Linked DNA regions of Ovis aries. The protein of the gene in region 1 binds, or shares a complex with, the protein of each later gene. Links are inferred from orthologs where the notes say so. Each region holds a gene or a part of one and is shown on either strand. Other genes may lie near its edges. The genes, in order: ARF1 and AP3B1.

Region 1 (8,491 bases):
AGGCAAGAGTATTGCAGTGGGTTGCCCTCCTCCAGGGCATCTCCTTGACCCAGGGATCAAAGCCGCATCTCGCAGGCAGATTCTTTACCGTTGAGCCACCAGGGAAGCCCAGAGTTCTGCTCACCCCCATCTAGGTTCAGCCACCAAAATATATGGCCCACTTGCCCTTTGGGGCTGCAGGAGTTGGGTAAGTTGAAAAACTGTGTGGAGGAAAGGGACCAGATTGATAATTAGGGCTCAGCCGACTGCAGGGCCAAGGCAGGCCAGGGACTGTGAGTGGGCAGACACGCTGGGCTGGGTGGGAGGAAGAGGAGGCCCCTGGCCTGCTGTGGCTGACTGCATCTCCAGGCTGACCTGCGGTGCGGGCTTGCTGCTGGGCCCAGTTCACCTGGAGTGCTCCGTCAGTCCCATGTAGGGGCTGGGGAAGCATAGAAAACAGTTTCGCTCCTCAGTGCCCAGGTTTCTGTGTCAGTTTGTATGAGCTTAATGCTAAAACAAATGGAGACAGCGGTCTTCCAGCCTGCTTCACAGGGATCGCCCTTTCTCGCCTTACTGTTCTGAGTAGGGTGCTAATCCGGTCTCTCAGTATGTCAGCTTTGGACGCTTGAGACCACAAGTTCTGTCCTTGGCTTCCCAGTACCCAGGAGTGCCAGTCAAAGTGTCATGACTAAATAAATGTTGTTCACTGCTGAGTCAAGTGGTGACTGGCTTATTATGTTTTCCTGCAGGAAATCTCAAAATGACTTCATTTTCATCCTTGGGTTTTTTCCTGGGTGTTTGTCATTATTTTTTCCCAATTCCCTTATAATTGCCACGCCCCGTGTTTAAACCACATAGGAAACGTGTTCCTCTTTTCCTGGAGCTCTCCTCCTCCGCGGGGCTGCTGCTCAGGCCTTCCTCTGCCTCCCTCTGTCACCTTGGGCGGCACCGGGGAGTGTTGCCCTTGCCTGTGGCAGCCTGCAGACGAGGCGCATGTGAGACTTGGCACTGGTGACCTCTCTGTCCTGCCCTTTCACTGACCCCATAGTTTGGTTGACACAGAACTGCAGATGGGAAGCAGTGTTTGTGTCTTTCTTTGCAGGGGACAGGTTTAGGTTCGCCCCGTAATTGAGGGAAACACACAGCCTTCCTCGCTGTGTCCCCCACTAGAGTGTGCGTTTACTGCAGCTGATGAGCCTACGTTGGCACACCATCATTCAGAGCCCATACTTGATCTTGGGGTTCACTCCTGGTACTGTGCGTTCTCTAGGTTTGGACAAATGTATCATGGCATGTATCAACCATTGTAGAATAGTTTCACTGTCTAAAAATGCCCTATCTCTACCTGTTCATCCTCCCTTCCCCCTGACCCCTCAGAACCACTGAAAGGATCTTTTACTCTCTCCACAGTTGCCTTTTCCAGAATGTCACGTAGTTGGAATCATACACTGTATAGTATTCTTAAATGGGCTTCTTTCACTCAATGCACATTTATACTATAATAATAATGTACACTTATCTGTATATTAGCACTTTTCTTTTAGTGTTGAATGACATCCTGTTGTTCGGATTTACCAAACAGTTTATCCATTCACCTACGGAAAGACATCATGGTTGCTTCCAGGTTGTGGCAATCATGAATAAGGCTTGTGAACATCAGTGTGCAGGTGTCTGTGTGGTTGCTCGTTTGCAGCCACTTTGGGAACATGAGGGCTGAGTTTCATGTTCAGAGTCTTTTGTAAGAAACCTCCAAACATTTTTCAGAATGGCTGCTCTTTCTTTCATGGGATCATGTCTTTGGTGTTGTGTCTGAAAAGTCATCATCATACTCAGGGTAGATGTTGGTCTTCTACGTTGCTCCCGGTCTCCCTGTTCTGAGGCTCGTGCATGTGTGGATTGCTTCACGCTGGTTGTGAGCTCTGCCGTGTCTGTCCTGACGCCCTGTTCTTGTCTGATGGGCTCCACGTCTCCACCACGTTGGTGCTAGGGCGGTGTGTGGCTTGGGGGTTCTGTTTGTTTACTTTTCTTTTTAAATTCTCTTCTGTCTTGTTTCTCTCCAAATTCTTTGTTTCAGTCAGTTCCACTGGGGGCTTCTTACAGGGAGATAGGGGCATGGATGTTTGGGGGCCTCCAGGTGTAAGAGTTCAGTCCCGGCCTTGAGGCCTCTATGTCTTGTGTGCAGGTCTGTGGCGGCAGGGTGCCTCCCTGTTGATCTCGCCATATTCCTCTGTTTCCAGAACAGTGCACCCTGTGCCCTCCTCTGACTGGAGAGCAGAGTGAGGACCCCTGATTCAGTTGCTCCAAAAAGGTCGCCTGGCTCTCCTGCAGGGCTGAGGATGATGCTTGGCCAGGGCCAGACCCCACCAGAATTGCACCTGCTCTCGGTCCTTTACTTCTTTATTGGTAGTGACTTCAGAAATAAGCTGAGATAAATACGCGTTCAGTTCATTCTGTTTTCCATAATTTATCATCCTCTATATTTAGGAAAAGTGGTTGTCTGCCGAAAAGGAAATACCATAGTAAAGATCTTTTTTAAATGTTAATTTTATAAATAGGTAATATTATTCAAAACCAAAAAGAACTTTAAAATGTTGAAAGAGCACTGAGGCCTGCTAGAAGGGGCTCCGCTGGATGCCCCTAAGGCCATTGGCGCATCTAGGTCACAGTGGGGCGGCGGTCTGACCCACTGAGCAAACTGGGAATTCCCAAGCTCACACCGTGTCAGTGTATGGAGGAGAGAGTGCTGGTTCCTTGGGTAGAAGGCTAACTAACGCTGGAAGGAATGACTGTAGAAAACCACCGTTAGAACAGTCCTGATGGCAGTAATTCAGCCAGGAAATGTCAGCATGCTGAAACTAGAGGGTGGAAGCTGGATGAGAAGCGGAACGTGTACATAGTCCCCAGATGCTCCCTGATGGCTAAGGCAGAAAGGGGCTTACGATGGAGACCTGGCAGCTCCACGTGAGCCTGTCATCAGAGTTGACGTGGGGTGGTGGGGGTCTGGGGCACAACCCCTACGTAGAATGGAGGGGGGAGTGCCTGTGGCAGGCCCGTATCTGCGTCCTCCGTGGAACTGGCCTCTTACCCAAGCAGTATCCATCCAAAGTTCAAACACTGGGAAGCTCATAGTTACTTCTGGGAGGTTAGGTATGCAGGGCAAGACTCCTTCCCAACCTCAACAATAGCCTCCACCAGCACCCTCCCAGTGATGAGGTGTGAGCATCTCCCATCAGCTTAGAACAAGCTCTCTGTGGTTGATTTGGTTTTCTGTCAACACTCGCACAGAATCTGCCCAGTTGAAGGCTGCTCAGCCCTCCACAGCTTGACTTCACCTTAGGTGCTAAGTCCAGATTTCCTAAGCATTTGAGAAAGTGACTGTTTTTTTCCTAAAGCCCTGTTTGGAAATAAAATAGTTGAAGGATGAATATACTGAGTGTGGAGAGGCCATATGTGGGTCTTCCAGTACAAGAGATCCCCACCTCTGTGATCACTCACCCCTTCCTGCAGGTCTGGGTGTCGGGGCCTGGGCTCGGACCTGGGGTCCAGTCAGCTCAGTGGCTGCTCCCAGTCTGCTCTGCTGAGTGAGGCGAGCTGGCGGGGGGTGGGGGGCGGTGCAGACACAGCGCTCGTGCGCGTCTGCACACTCGTGCGCTTCTGCACACTCGTGGCTGCACCGCGCAGGCCACCTCTCCGACCAGCGCTGACCACAGGTCTTGGCAAGGTGCTCCCTAACGTGGCCATGCTGTGGGCTCACCCTTGGGCTGAATACTCTTGGACTGAGCAGCAGGTGTGCTGCTCTTGAGCCCTGGGTGTTCTCACTCAGCCAGTCCTGCCTGCAGGGTGTGCTGAGCTCTCAGCATGTTGGGAAGGGCTGGCTCCTGGTCTTGGCCAGGGCCCTCCTAGGTTCTCAGGTGTTAGTTGTCTTACCATTGAACTCTGCTTCATCGAGACTTGGGGCAGTTGGGAGACATGGTAGGGCCTTGAAGTGGTTGTTTCTGGCCCCTTGAAGAACTGTGCATTAGGTTATGGAGAGCCTAGCGTCCATTTGAAAGCCACACTACTGCACCCCAGAGTGGCGGGTTGGAGGACTTAGAGGTAAGGTGCCCTCAGGCCTTGGCTATAAGTTCCTCAGATGATGGAGCAGCCGCTTCACATTCCAGTCAGCCTTGTTCTAAGAGTCCCATATGCTGCCTTGTTAGGCTGATTTAGAGGCTCAAGAGGTAGGTGGGCAGGACCGTTTTCTTTTGGATAGGAACCAGAATTTCATCAGCTTGTGAGAGGAGCAGCTGCCTCAGCCTGGCTCTGGGTGAGCGGTCTCTGAGCTGCTCCTGCTTGCCTGGCCCTGGGCAGCACAGAAAAAGACCCCAGGACTCCTTGTTCCTGCAGGTTTCTCTGGCCAGTGTTGCCCCCACCGGTGTGCAGCATGGGGAATATCTTTGCAAACCTCTTCAAGGGCCTTTTTGGCAAAAAAGAAATGCGCATTCTCATGGTGGGCCTAGATGCTGCGGGAAAGACCACCATCCTGTACAAACTGAAGCTGGGTGAAATTGTGACCACCATTCCCACTATTGGTGAGGACGCTGGGCCTTGGGAGGCTGGGAGGTGGTGGTGGCCCTGGGGATAGGCTCACCCGGCTCTCTTCCAGGCTTCAACGTGGAGACCGTGGAGTACAAGAACATTAGCTTCACTGTGTGGGACGTGGGCGGCCAGGACAAGATCCGGCCTCTGTGGCGCCACTACTTTCAAAACACACAAGGTATGAGTGAGCTGCCCCGTTACACGCCTCAGGAGTGGGGCTCGGGGTGTCCCGGGTGCCTGCAGTCACGCTTACTGTCCCCTCTGCAGGCCTCATCTTTGTGGTTGACAGCAATGACAGAGAGCGTGTGAATGAGGCCCGCGAGGAGCTCATGAGGATGTTGGCAGAAGACGAGCTCAGGGACGCCGTTCTGCTCGTGTTTGCTAACAAACAGGTACGTGTGACTGAACACCCTGTGTGCCAGTGGGGGTGCACGTCAGGCAGCCAGCCTCTCAGGGCTGGAGGTCTGACTGGGGGGCCACAGGTCAGGTAGAAAGGGTTCCATGCACTCCCCCTGACCCACGCCTGCTGTGCTGCCACCCCCAGGACCTCCCTAATGCCATGAACGCGGCCGAGATCACGGACAAGCTGGGCCTACACTCTCTGCGCCACAGGAACTGGTACATACAGGCTACCTGCGCCACCAGCGGGGACGGGCTTTACGAGGGACTGGACTGGCTGTCCAATCAGCTCCGGAACCAGAAATGAGCTGTCATCCTCTCTCCTCCCCTCTCACTCCCTCCTTCTACCCTCGCTTTACTCTCATGTGGCAAACGTGCCCCTGTGGTGTGAGTGCCAGAAGCTGTCTCCATGGTCGGTCACAGTGTGCTTCACCATGCTGTAAATGTGCAGACGCAGCCTGCAACTGGGTTTTTATTTAATGTAAATAGTTTTTGTTTCCAATGAGGCAGTTTCTGGTACTCCTATGCAATATTACTCAGCTTTTTTTATTGTAAAAAGAAAATCAACCCACTGTTTAGTACTCAGAAGGGATTTTAGGCACACGGGTCATCCAGGAGTTGTGTGTCAGACGAGCCCAATACTCCTCCTCTGGGCTTTAGGTCTGTGTTGAGATCCATTTTGGTGGTTGGTTTTTAACCCAAACTCAGTGCATTTTTTAAAATAGTTACAAATACAAAATAAGGAGAACACTTGAACACACAGAAGGGAGAAATGTGCCTAATGTAGGTTCTGCGGTGACGGCCTGAGTCCAGTCCACCGGTGGTCTGTTTCCCGCTGGGAACATGAAGCGGGGCAGAACCAGCCGTGATACCCATTCTGCATGGTCACAGTAGGGTCCCTGTGATTCGCTCTGTCTCGGGTCCTCCCACCCCCCGTAGCGTTTGTGCTTGTATTTGTGCATACGTGGCCGCCCAGGAGATGGGGTGGAGGCTGCAGCCGCCGTTCTCAGACCCCTTGGAAGAACCCCGGCCTTTTCTCGGGTCAGCATGGGCACTTTGGTTGGAACGCCCTGGCTGGAGCGGGAGGCCTGCAGCCCCCCTGCTTGCCTGCTCCGGGCTCTCTGGGGTCTCACCAGCAGGAGTGCGGGTGGTCATCCTTGAGCCCCAGCCCCTCAGAGCCCCTGTCTACATGTGCTTTCACTCCCTCAGCCTGCAAGGGTCAGATTTGCCATTGAAAATGATAACCTCTACTTTTTTCTTTTGTATTTTGATAAACACTGAAGAAGCTGGAGCTGTTAAACTTTATCTTGGGGAAAACCTCAGAGCTGGTTTATTTGGTGTCGTGGAACCTCTTACTGCTTTCAATACACAATTAGTAATCAACTGTTTTGTATACTTGTTTTCAGTTTTCATTTCGACAAACAAGCACTGTAATTACAGCTATTAGAATAAAATCTCTTAACTATTTCATGGCTCTCTTGTGTTTGGGTGCCCCTGACAGCCTGCCCTCTGGGAGCTGGGCAAGGACAGCCTCTTCTTGCTCACTTAGTGAGGGCCACATGGCTCTGCCTTGCCCCATTCTCGCTCTGCTCACCCCTTCCCTGCCCATGCCCCCACCTTCACTTTGCCATGGTCCAATGTGAGCATGTTCCAGTGCCCTGGTAGTAACCACCTCGTTGGTCTCATTGCTGGCAGTCCAGCCCCCTGGTCCCAGGCTTTGCAGTGCCCAGTCATGAGAGGAACAGCAGGGTCACCATATAGGGTGTGCCCCAGGGGCCAGGGCCAAGCTTGGTATGGAAGAGACCCCCCACACACACACCCTTCCTAACATCCACTGTCTCTGGTACCCCCAGGCCAAACAGCTTGTCCTCTGGAGGGGCAGGACAGTCTCCAGTGTTGCTGCCTCAGTAGTTGACACAGGCCTGGCTGGGTGATCTGTGTCTGTGCCATAGACCCCCCTCCCACTTTTGCGGGGGTCGCCCCTCTGACCTGGAGCCCTTCTTGGGACCCTTGTTTTCCCCACTGGGCAGCCTTTGGTAGGCCAGAGTCCAGGTGGCCTTCCCCCAGGAGGCAGGCTCCACCCTAGTCACAGGTTGATAACCAGTGCCGAGTGCCTTTAAGACAGAGTTGCTTTCAGTTCTCATTTCTTTTAAAATCAGCAGCAAAACAAGAACCTAGGTAATGAATCCAGTCTAGGTTTTGTCTTTATTCCAGTGTGGTTTGTAGGATGTTTTCTTTTTTTCTATGGATGGCAATATTGTATGTGTGCCTTCAGCCTTGGAGGTGGCTGGGTGGAGGGACCCAGGGCCTTTACAGCAGGCAGGGGGGCAGGGGTGGGTACCTGTGGGACAGTGGTTAGAAGATCTTTGGTGGCCGAGGAAGACAGGGTGGCTGCAGGTACAAGTCTCCTTCCCCAGGATCTAGATGCCCAGCCCGACTGCCCCCTTCTAGCATGGTCACCTGCTTGCAGCTGAGCACCTTTTGGTCCCTCCGCCCTCCCTGCTGACCACACATAGTCCAGGGCTCTTGGTACACTTGAAGTAGATGCAGGGGCCAGGCCAACAGGGGACCCCAGGATGCTGACCACCAAAAGGACAGTGCCCCTCAGTGTGACTGCAGACGGCCTTGCTGGAACTCCCAAGATTCACTGCATTTTCACACGTCACTTTCTGTTGTGACACAACAGCAACTTTCCTGTTAGTATAAGACACTTTCCCCTTAAAATAAGTTTATTTAAGTACAAAGAGTGAGTCAATACAAAGAAAAATAGAAGTAGCCATACTGGACCACAACTGAGCCTCCAGTATCCTGGCCTGGAGAATTCCATGGACAGAGGAGCCTGGCGGGCTGTAGTCCACGGGGTTGCAAAGAGTTGGACATGACCGAGGGACTTGCAAGCCTCTATGGGAGCCTGGGGTAACCCCCACAGGCCAGTCCTCCAGACCCCTGGGCCTCAGTCGCTGTCGTGCCTGCGCTTCTTGCAGCAAGTTGAAGAGTCAGAGTCATGCCTAATGAGACCGCGAGATGCCTGGGGTGAGGGGCTCGGCCTGCCAAGCACACCCTCATCTCCACCCCCAGGCAGCTGCACCTACTGGGTGGGAGCAGGGGGAGGTGAGGAATCCAGCCTTCTCCCATGCTCCTTTTCTTTCTTTCTCTTCTCTTTCTTGTGCCTCTTCTTTTTCTTCTCTTTCCTGCTCTTCCTGTGGCTTTCAGGACTACAGGGGGGAGTGCACGAGTGCTAGAAGCCTCTGGGGCTTTGGCGGGTCTAGACCACAGTAGCCACTGACCATGTGTGGCCATTTCAACCTCAAGTCACTAAGAATAACTCAGTACCATGTGTGGCCAGCGGCTACCGTGAGCAGCACAGACACGACTATGGCAAAAAGTCTGCAGGACAGCACCTACCTGACAACCTCATAGCTGCTTCCAGCCCTCCCACTGGGATGCCCCTGCACTCTTGGGGCCAAGTGCTGACGCCCTCCAGTGCCCCTGACCCTGCTGCAGGTTGGTGGGCAGCCAGGAGCTTTCCCTAGGG
Region 2 (9,917 bases), on another chromosome or scaffold:
GCAGGCAGACTCTTTACAGTCTGAGCTACCAAGGATAGCTCTGGTACAATTATATTGGAGAACAACTGAGGATATTCAGTAAAGGTACATACAATGTACAACCAAGACATTCTGTGCCAAGAAATATATGCCAAAGATTCTCTAGGATATGCAATTATCAGTGTCCTCATTTCACGGATAAGTTTCTTTTACTATTAAATGAACTAACATACGTAAGTCATTTCTATGCCTGGTACATATTAAGTGTTTTTTAAATAATTTCATTTATTTATTCATTTTTGGCTGTGCTGGGTCTTTGTTGCTGCACAGGCTTTTCTCTCGTTGTGGCAAATGGGGACTGCTCTCTAGTTGCAGTGCATGGTGTTGGAGATTACGAGTGAAATGACATAAAACAAGACACACACAAAGGACAGACGACATGTACACACTCCGGCTGGAGGAACAGAACAGAACTGCCCAAACTATTTGGGCTTTATTATTATAAAGCCCCCCTAGGCAGAATTCCAGACTGCATGAATAAGCCTTTTCAGTACAGCGCAGGTGCATACATGTTATCATACAGCAAAGGGGAGTGAAATTCCGGCCTTCTGCAGAGTCTGTCCAGAGCCCTTATCACAAGAAGGGAATGTTCCCTTATTTGCAAGGGACCATCAATCTCAAGGCTGTGTCCGTCTCCTTGGCAGAACATCTTGTTTGCAAGCAGCACATCTCCACTTTCCTTATTGTGGCCGCATTAACCCTTCAGCATGGGTTTCTCATTTCAGTGGGGCAGGGGCTCCAGGGTGTGCAGGCTTCAGTCGCTGTGGCATGTGGCTTGGAAGCTGCGACTTGCGGGCTCTGGCGCACAGGATCATTGTGGCCCACGGGTTGGTTTCTCTGCAGCATATGGGATCTACCCAGATTAGAGACTGAACCCGTGTCTCCTGTATTGGCGGGCGGATTCTTTACCACGGAGCCACCAGGGAAGCCCGAAGCCATCTATTAAGCATATACCATCATCATCAACATTATCATCATTATCATCATGAATAATCAGCTGTAGATTAAACTCCATAGATCGATCAATATCATCATTATTGACAACAACACATTTTAAGTGCTTCATTGTCTCATCCCTGGAGGAATATTCAAACATGAATAAAAAACCTGCCACGTTTTGATCAGAATATGAAATACGGAGGGCATTCTTCTCTCTCCACTAGAGGACCTAGAACTGCAGTCATGCTTGTTACCAATGTTAACAGTGTGGCTTTTCTTTTTAAAATTAAACTCTTAATTTTTGTTAAAACTTTATTTCTTAGAAGTTTTAGGTTCACAGCAAAATTGAGAGGAAAGTATAGAGATTTCCCATATATGCCCTGCCCTTATACATGCACTGCTGCTGCTGCTAAGTCACTTCAGTCGTGTCCAACTCTGTGCGACCCCATAGACGGCAGCCCACCAGGCTCCACCATCCCTGGGATTCTCCAGGCAAGAACACTGGAGTGGGTTGCCATTTCCTTCTCCAGTGCATGAAAGTGAAAAGTGAAAGTGAAGTCGCTCAGTTGTGTCTGACTCTTTGCGACCCCATGGACTGCAGCCCACCAGGCTCCTCCATCCATGGGATTTTCCAGGCAGGAGTACTAGAGTGGGGTGCCATGCACAGCCTCCTCATCACCGCCTCTTCATTAGAGTGGTCATTTGTTACAACTGATGAACTTTTACTGACCCATCATTATCACCCAAAGTTCACAGTGTCTATAAGGTTCACCTCTGGTGTTATTCATTCTGTGGGTTTAGAGAAATGTATTCTGATACATATTCATCATCATGGTATACAGCGTATTCTCAATGCCCTAAAAATCCTCTCTTCTCTGCCTATTCATCCCTCCTCTCCCCAAATGAATCCTTGGCACCCACTGATGCTTTTACTGTCTTATAGTTTGGCATTTTCCAGATGCCATATAGTTGGAATCACAGAATATGTAACCTTTTCAGATTGACTTCTTTCACTGGGATGCATGCTCAGTTGGTAAGTTATGTCCAACTCTTTGTACCCTATGGATTGTAACCCGCCAGGCTCCTCTGTCTATAGGTTTTCCCAGACAAGAATACTGGAGTAGGTTGTCATTTCTTTCTCCAGGGGAATCTTCTCGATCCAGGGATTGAACCTGTATCTCCAGCATCTTCTTGTATTGACAGGCGGATTCTTTACCACTGAGCCACCTGGGAAACCCCTCTTTCACTTAGTAATGTGTATTTAAGATTCCTCCACATCTTTTCATGGCTTGATATCTCCTCTCTTTTTAGTGCTGAATAATATTCCACTGTCTGGATGTGCCACATTTTAGTTACACAATTACCCACCGAAGATACATCTTGATTGCTTTCCATTTTGGTGATTATGAATACAGATGCTAGAAACACCTGTGCATGTTTTTGCATGGACATGTTTTCAACTCCTTTGGATAAATATGAAGGAGCACAATTGGTGGATTATATGGTAAAAGTATGTTTAATTTTGTAAGAAACTGCCAAACTATCTTCCAATGTGGCTGTACCATTTTGCATTCCCACCAGCAACAAATGAGAGTTTCTTGTGCTCTATATCCCCACCAGCGTTTGGTGTTGTTAGTGTTGTGGACTTCGGTGATTTTAGTAGTAGTAGGTATGTGCTGTTGTTTAGTCAGTAAGTCGTGTCCTACTCTTTTTTGAGATTCCATGGCCTGTAGCCTGCCAGGCTCCTCTGTCCCTGAGATTTTCCAGGCAAGAATATTGGAATGGGTTGCTATTTCTTTCTCCAGGGGATCTTCCCCACCCAGGGATTGAACCTGGGTCTCCTACATTGTAGGCTTTACTGCTGAGCCACCGGGGAAGATGTGTAGTGATATCTGATTATTGTTTTCACTGTGGCCATTAGAGGATGTGAAGACCACATTCTGATCCTTATACACTTCGGACCCGCCCCACGCACTGGCCCTATGGGTTGTGTTTTACTGTGTGTGTGTGTGTGTGAGCCGCTCAGTTTGACTCTTTGCGACCCCATAGATGGCAGCCCACCAGGCTCCCCCGTCCCTGGGATTCTCTAGGCAAGAACACTGAAGTGGGTTGCCATTTCCTTCTCCAATGCATGAAAGTGAAAAGTGAAAGTGAAGTTGCTCAGTCGTGTCCGACTCTTCGCGACCCCATGAACTGCAGCCTACCAGGCTCCTCCGTCCATGGGATTTTCCAGGCAAAAGTATTGGAGTGGGGTGCCATTGCCTCCTCCCGAGAATACTGGAGTGCATAGGTATTCCCTTCTCCAGGTGAACTTCCGGTCCCAGGGATGGAACCCAGGTCTCGCGTGTTGCAGGGGGATTCTTTACCTTCTGAACCACGAGGGAAGCCCTGTGTTTCACTAGTCCCCTTACAGTTTCTAACTTCCAGGCTCTAGGTTTCGGAGCTTGCCTAAACCGGAAGCAGTGGAAATAGTGCGCAGCATGCTCTGAAATCCACCCGAAATATCAGGTGTGAGGGGGGCAAGTTACTCCTGAAAAAGTTTCTCACGTGCTACTCTGGAGCCAGGCAACTTTCTGCCTGACTCCCCTTAAAACTTTAGTAAGTGCTACCACAAGAAGAACAAAAAGAGGTGCCCAGATAATGGGCTACTTCTGGTGTTCGGGACAGCTCTATTTTTTTGTTTTTAAACGCCAGTAGGAAGCACGCCGTTAGCTCCTTGGAACCAATGGCCCCAGGATTTTCCTTTGAAACTACAATGATCCCATCTTGGCGGTGGCAGATCCCAGAAAGACAGGGTTTTAGAAACTTCCTTAAAACTCAGAGCTCTGCATAAAGATTGCCTGGGGCAGAAGTAACAGCAAGACTCAGCAGGCTGGAGGGAAAGCATTAGAAACCAGCCTAAACAGGAAAAGCAGTCCTAATTAAGTTTAGCAAAGTTGATCTGGTGTGTTAAATGGTGTTTCAGGAGAAATCTGAAAACTTCTGGTTTACAACAAGAATCCAAAAAAAGAGGTGTCCGGCCCGGGGAATCTCCTAAGGGACCAAAATGGATACGTGGGTATCTGTCTCCAAAAAAAACCCCCACCTCTAAAAAGAGCTTAGTCTTTAGCCCGCTGAGGGCCTGCCTAGCGCAGAGGCTGGGTTCGAGCCGCTCGGCTACCTCAAAAGCCCGGAGGCGGGAACTCCAGTCCGGCCCGGGAGTGGCCGGGGGGTGGGCTCTGGCCGCACGCACACTGGGCATGCGCAGGGGGTGGCCCGCCGGGTCGGCTTGGGAGCCGTGACGAGTCCGGAAGCGCCTGCGCGCGCCCCTCTGCACGAGAACTAGTTTTGTTTCCAGTCGCTGGGACCGGAGCCCGTCAGAGAGAACCCCGGGCAGGACCAGCTCGACACCCGGCGACCCCGCGGCGATGTCCAGCAACAGCTTCGCTTACAATGAGCAGTCGGGAGGAGGGGAGGCGACGGAGCTGGGTCAGGAGGCGACCTCAACCATTTCCCCCTCCGGCGCCTTCGGCCTTTTTAGCAGCGATATGAAGAAGTGAGGAGAAAGGTTTGGGGTGTGGGGACGGGACTGAGGGGCTGGGGCTCCCGGGACAGGGGCAGGGTCGCCCTGAGACCGTCCGGGAGCGGAGCGGGCGTTTCCTGCCGCGCTATCGCTTGGGAGTGGTGGGAGTTGTTGGGAGTGTGGGTTGAGTGTGTGGAGGGGTTCTCTAGGAGTTTTCAGACTTTAGTGAAAAAGAACCATTGGGACCGCTTAGGTGCCATCCCCAAAGACCCCGACTGGTCTGGGGCCCAGGAGTCTGAATTTTGAGCAAACACTTCAAGCTAGTTTAAAGTTTGCTTGATGCCACCTGGAGAAATTCTCTCTCTAGGGTGGAAGGATTCAAGTTTGGGGAGCTGAGAGGGAAAGTTAGATTGTGTCTTATGGGAACCTGTTCTGTGACTCTTGAGTGTAGAAGCAAGGAGGTGTTTTAGGCGCTTTATGAATGAACAAGCTGGTTTATTCAGGCACCAGTGTTCCCGGAAAATGTCTTTTGCATTACAGACCAAAAAAGAAAAAACAAAACCCCCCACCAAAAGTATAAGACAACCCCCAAACCAAAAAACAAAGCTAGGAAACAGTAAGAAGCGTATGAGGAGAATATTTAGAGTGTGGGCAAGTGGCACAATTTTGCAAATAATGTGGATTTTAAAAATGAACCCTAAATAATGTATACGTGTGTGTGTTTTTAAAGTTATTACGAGTATTTTAAGTACCACCGAAAAAGGGAAAGAAAACACCCCGCTCATTGTTTTTTGTGTGTGTGGTGAGGGAGAGAGAGTGATTTTAAACTTACAGAATTCTGGTAACTTTGCATTTTTTGGTAATAATTTTTACATTTTTTCTTATTTTTGATCTCTCAGTACTTAGTGAACATAATAGGCTAACACTAGATTTATGCTGAACTTAAGGTAAAGTAGCTATGCTGGTGGCCTTGCGGTGTCAGAAAGATAAATTAAAATTCATTTTATTTAATTAAATAATTTATTTGATTAAAATTTAATGTAATTAAAAAATTATTTTAAAAGGCATTCTGGAAATTGCTAGTAGTTGAAGTTGAGGTTACATTTTGACTGTATTAAGCTAACTGAAACCTGTGTGGAGTGTGTGGAATAGAGTTTTTTGTTTATTTCCTTATTCTCAGGTTAGCAAAGTTTATAAGTAATGTAACTTCAGTAATTTTTCATTTTTCCTTCTATGCATTTAGATGATGGATTATTCCAACAAGAAGCTTGTTGCAGTTCTGTTGTTCTATTAGCAGAAATTTCAACTGTTAAATTAATGTTTAAGTCTGTAGAGTCTGTTTTACATGTGATATGCTTACAGTTGATCTACTTTTATGGATTGTGAACTTCTAAGGTGTTTTCCTCTTAGAGCCTTTCATTTCCTATTTTGTCAGATTTGGGTCTAATATTGAAAAAAATGTGTGGTTTTGACTGTGACCAGTGTTACTGAGGTGACTGAGCATGTTGGAGTTGAAATGAAAATAGCTGACTTTGAGTACTTCTGCACACTACTTTACATTGATTATCTCATTTGGTCCTCCTGACCATTTGGTCTGGCTGAGTGAGTATGACTTACGGAAAATTATTCTGTAACTTTGAGGTGCCACAGAGGATATAGAGCAACCCAAAAATACTTTGATTCCACTTTGCAGATGAGAAAATTGGAGCACAAATGGTTAATTTGCCTAAGATAACAGAACTAGAACACTGAGCTGCCTGAGTTTGAGCTCACAGTCTCATCTCAGAGCCCATTCTCTTGAGTATTTGGATATGCTGCTTGACAACGTTTATTGTACCTTGGTCTTCCCTTGTATTGCAGTTAGTAAAGAATCTGCCTGCAATGTAGGAGACCTGGGTTTGATTCCTGGGTGGGGAAGATCCCCTGGAGAAGGAAATAATTATATCTTATTAGAGAATGCAATCAAATCATTAAAACTTTACTAGTCGTAGAGAGTGTATGACCTTGAGGCTTTCAGGAATTAGAAACATTTTGGCCATTGAATTGCAAACTAGTGCAGTTGTACAGAAACAGGGACCTGTGTTCTGGAAGTGGTCACTTAACCTCTCTTGAGCTTACATTCTCTCATTTATAAAAATGTGATATTTCTTGCCTTTTTAAAAAACCCAAATGACAAAATTTATGTAAAAAACTTCAAGCTTACCCTAATCCTGTACTCTGATTTTTTTAATCAAAGTATAATTGACATCAACATGTTAATTTCAGATATACACCATAATGTTCAGTAGATTTTTTTATGTATTGAGAAATTATCACCACAGCAAGTCTGGTTAACATCTGTCACCATACTTACAGTTTGGTTCCCCCCTCCCCTCGAATGAGGACTTTGAAGATTCGCTTTTAGTGATTTTCAAATATGTAATACAATATTATTAACTGTAGTTACCATGGTGTACATTATATCCTCCTGACTTATTTGCTTTATAGCTGGAACTTTGTGCCTTGGACTTTCTTCACCCATTTCTCCCACAACCTCTGGTCTCATTTTTGATGATTTACTTTGAATGATTTTGAGTTTGCAAAAAAGTTGCAAGAATAATAGAGAACTACTCTTGATGTAGGCTCAGTTTTTAAAAAATCACTACATTGCTTTATTTCTCTTTCTTTCTCCATCCACACACAGACATACACACATTCGTATTATCTCTTATCCATTGGAGAATAGGTTGAGTAAGGCCGGACCCCGGGGGCCATGATGGGCCGCCCCTCCTCTCCCTGCCACCGGCAGGGGAAGTCCCTAATGGAAGGAGCCTCCCAGATCCCTGGGACCAATGACAGCACACTTCACCAGCTAAAGCCGCCCCACCCCAGCCACATAGAAGGACCTGTCAGCCCGCGATGCCTCGGCCTGGCGACCTGTCCGAATCCCGGTCCATCTAGCCTGACCATCCCTCGCAACCAACGTATAAAAACCACCCCCAACATGGTCTGGGCGCGGACTTCCTCGACGTGCCTCGTTGGGGTCCGGGAACCCCGCCCGGGAGCGCTTCACCATTAAAAAGCCTGTTAGACACTCTTTTGGTGTCCTGGTCTTTTACCTAACAGGTTGTATACACCATGTCCCTTTATCCTCATACCTTAGCATGTATTTTTTAAGAACAAGGATATTCTCATTCACAACTGCAGCACTGTTAGGGTTAGGAAGTTTATCATTATTACAATTTACAGTCTATAATCCTGTGTTGTCATTTGTCCCAATAAATACTTCTAATTTTTTTTAGCATTTTTTTTCTCTAGTGTAGAATCCAGTCCAAGATTATATAGTTTACTTAGTTCTCATATCTCTTTAATCTCCTTTAAACTGGAATAGTTACTTAGCCTTTGTCTTTCACTGCCTTGATATTTTTGAAGAACACAAGCCAATTACTTTATAGCATGTTAATCAGTTTGCCTTTGCTGGTGTTTCCTCACGTTTTGACTCTTGTTAAATATCCCAGGCTGCATTGCTACCTTCTTAGACTTTTGTGTCAGGAGGCATAGGGTGCCCACCTTTATAATGTTAATTTTCCCCGTTATAGGATTTTTTTCTAGTTACCTGTGGGGGGACACTTTGAGATCATACAGGTGTTCTGCTCTTCATTTGATCCACCATCCCCTGTACTTAGCCACTGTGTGTGAATCTCCTGCACCAGTCTTTACTACAATGTCTGCAGTGGTGATGTTTTTACTGGAGGATAATTGCTTTACAGTTTTGAGGTGGTCCCTGCCACACATCAGCACGAATCAGTCATAATTATATATGTGTGTGTGTGTGTTTGTATTCCCTCCCTCTGGAGCCTCCCCCTCTCAACCCCCAGTTCTATCCCTCTAAGTCATCACAGAGCACCAGGCTGGGCTCCCTTTGTTATATAGCAGCTTCCTGACAGTTGTTAACTTATTTTACAAATGATAGTATATATAAATGTCAATGCTACTACTTTCTCAATTTCTCCTAGCCTCTCTTTCCAGCAGTGTCCAGAAGTCTGTTCTCTACCTCTGTGTCTCCATGTCTTCTCTGTAAATAGGTTCACTGTTTTCCTAGATTCCATATATATGTGTTGAAAGAAAAGTGAAGGTGTTAGTTGCTCAGTCATATTCGACTCTTTGCAACCCTGTGGACTGTAGTCTGCCAGGCTCTTCTATCCATGGGATTCTCCAGGTAAGAATACTGGAGTGGGTTGCCATTCCTTTCTCCAGGGGATCTTCCTGATCCAGGGATTGAACCTAGGTCTCCTGCATTGCAGGCAGATTCTTTACCGACTGAGCCACTAGGTGTTAATACATGTTTGTTTTCCTCTTTTTGACTTATTTCATTCAGTATAACAGATTCTAGGTTCATCCACCTCACTACAACTGACTCAAATTTGTTTCTTTTTATGGCTGAATAATATTCCTATATATAAATATAATACACACACATCCCACCCCCCCACCCCCAACCCCACCCCCCGGCCACCCCTACAACTTCTGTATTGACATCTAGGTTGCTTCCATGTCCTGGCTGTGATAAATAGTGCTGCAGTGAACATCGGGGTACATGTCCCTTTTAGAATTGTGATTTTCTCAGGGTGTATGCCCACTAGTGGGATTGCTGGGTCATATGGTAGTTTTATTCCTCGTTTGTTAAGGAGTCCGTGCTGTTCTCCATATTGGCTGTACCAGTTTACATTCCTGCTCCCAGTGCAGTAGAGTCCCCTTTTCTCCACATTCTCTCCAACATTTATTATTTGTAGTTTTCTTTTTTATGATGGCTGTTCTGATTGGTGTGAGATGTTTTCTTTTGTCTTGAATGCTTATTTTAACCAGTTTGGCTGTGTGTGTATAATTTAAAATAGTAATTATTAATAATTTGTTTTTGGATTAAACATTTAATTAGAAATTAATTTCTAGAAACAGACAATACTAATTAGTTTTTTAAACAATGGTAAAACTACTGAATTTCTGAATCTCTCTTTTTTTTTTGAGAACATCACAGTGTATTAGAAAGAGTATTGGACCTAGAGTGAGAAGACCTGGGTTTAAGTTGATGTTTCTGCTTGTAGTAATGTTTCTTTGTTCAAGTTGCTTGATCTCTTCAGACTTCAGTGCCTTTATTTCTAGGGAGGGTATGATAATACTTGTCTATTTTGTGAGTTTTTCACAAGATGGTATAGTGGAAATGACTTCTGAACTAGAAGAGTGACTAACACTATTTGGAAACGGTCTTGAAAGCTTCACTGAGGTGGTAATATATTAGGTCATAAAGCCTGAGAAGATTTTTGCCTGTTGGAGAGTAGGGGGAGTTCTTCAGGCAAAGTATATAGAAACCAGGAGAGTTGCAAAAGAAAATGCATGTTTAGATGAAATATAGATTCAAGCATCAGCATTTAGAATTGTGGGCAATAATTAAAGTATGAGA

Evidence for each region.
Region 2: the proteins of ARF1 (region 1) and AP3B1 are in contact, whole or in part, in a cryo-EM structure (PDB 9C5B), measured with the Homo sapiens proteins. The link is inferred for Ovis aries from reciprocal best matches to the Homo sapiens genes ARF1 and AP3B1. Residues at the interface, in NP_001019397.1 of Homo sapiens: Glu17, Arg19, Tyr35, Ile46, Pro47, Thr48, Ile49, Gly50, Phe51, Asn52, Val53, Glu54, Lys73, Ile74, Leu77, His80, Tyr81, Asn84; in NP_003655.3 of Homo sapiens: Glu52, Asn54, Pro81, Val84, Lys85, Val87, Ala88, Asp111, Leu112, Leu114, Leu115, Ile117, Ser118, Thr119, Gln121, Arg122.

The regions. Positions count from the first base shown.
Region 1 is NC_056058.1:2,767,942-2,776,432, reverse strand, and holds ARF1 (ADP-ribosylation factor 1), read left to right. Parts: upstream 1-4,402; coding exon 4,403-4,550; intron 4,551-4,624; coding exon 4,625-4,735; intron 4,736-4,824; coding exon 4,825-4,949; intron 4,950-5,101; coding exon 5,102-5,263; downstream 5,264-8,491. Other genes in the region: C5H1orf35 (multiple myeloma tumor-associated protein 2), read right to left, coding at 8,166-8,171. UniProt on the Homo sapiens protein: Small GTPase involved in protein trafficking between different compartments. Modulates vesicle budding and uncoating within the Golgi complex. In its GTP-bound form, triggers the recruitment of coatomer proteins to the Golgi membrane.
Region 2 is NC_056060.1:9,380,910-9,390,826, reverse strand, and holds the start of AP3B1 (AP-3 complex subunit beta-1), read left to right. Parts: upstream 1-4,238; 5' UTR 4,239-4,385; coding exon 4,386-4,513; intron 4,514-9,917. UniProt on the Homo sapiens protein: Subunit of non-clathrin- and clathrin-associated adaptor protein complex 3 (AP-3) that plays a role in protein sorting in the late-Golgi/trans-Golgi network (TGN) and/or endosomes.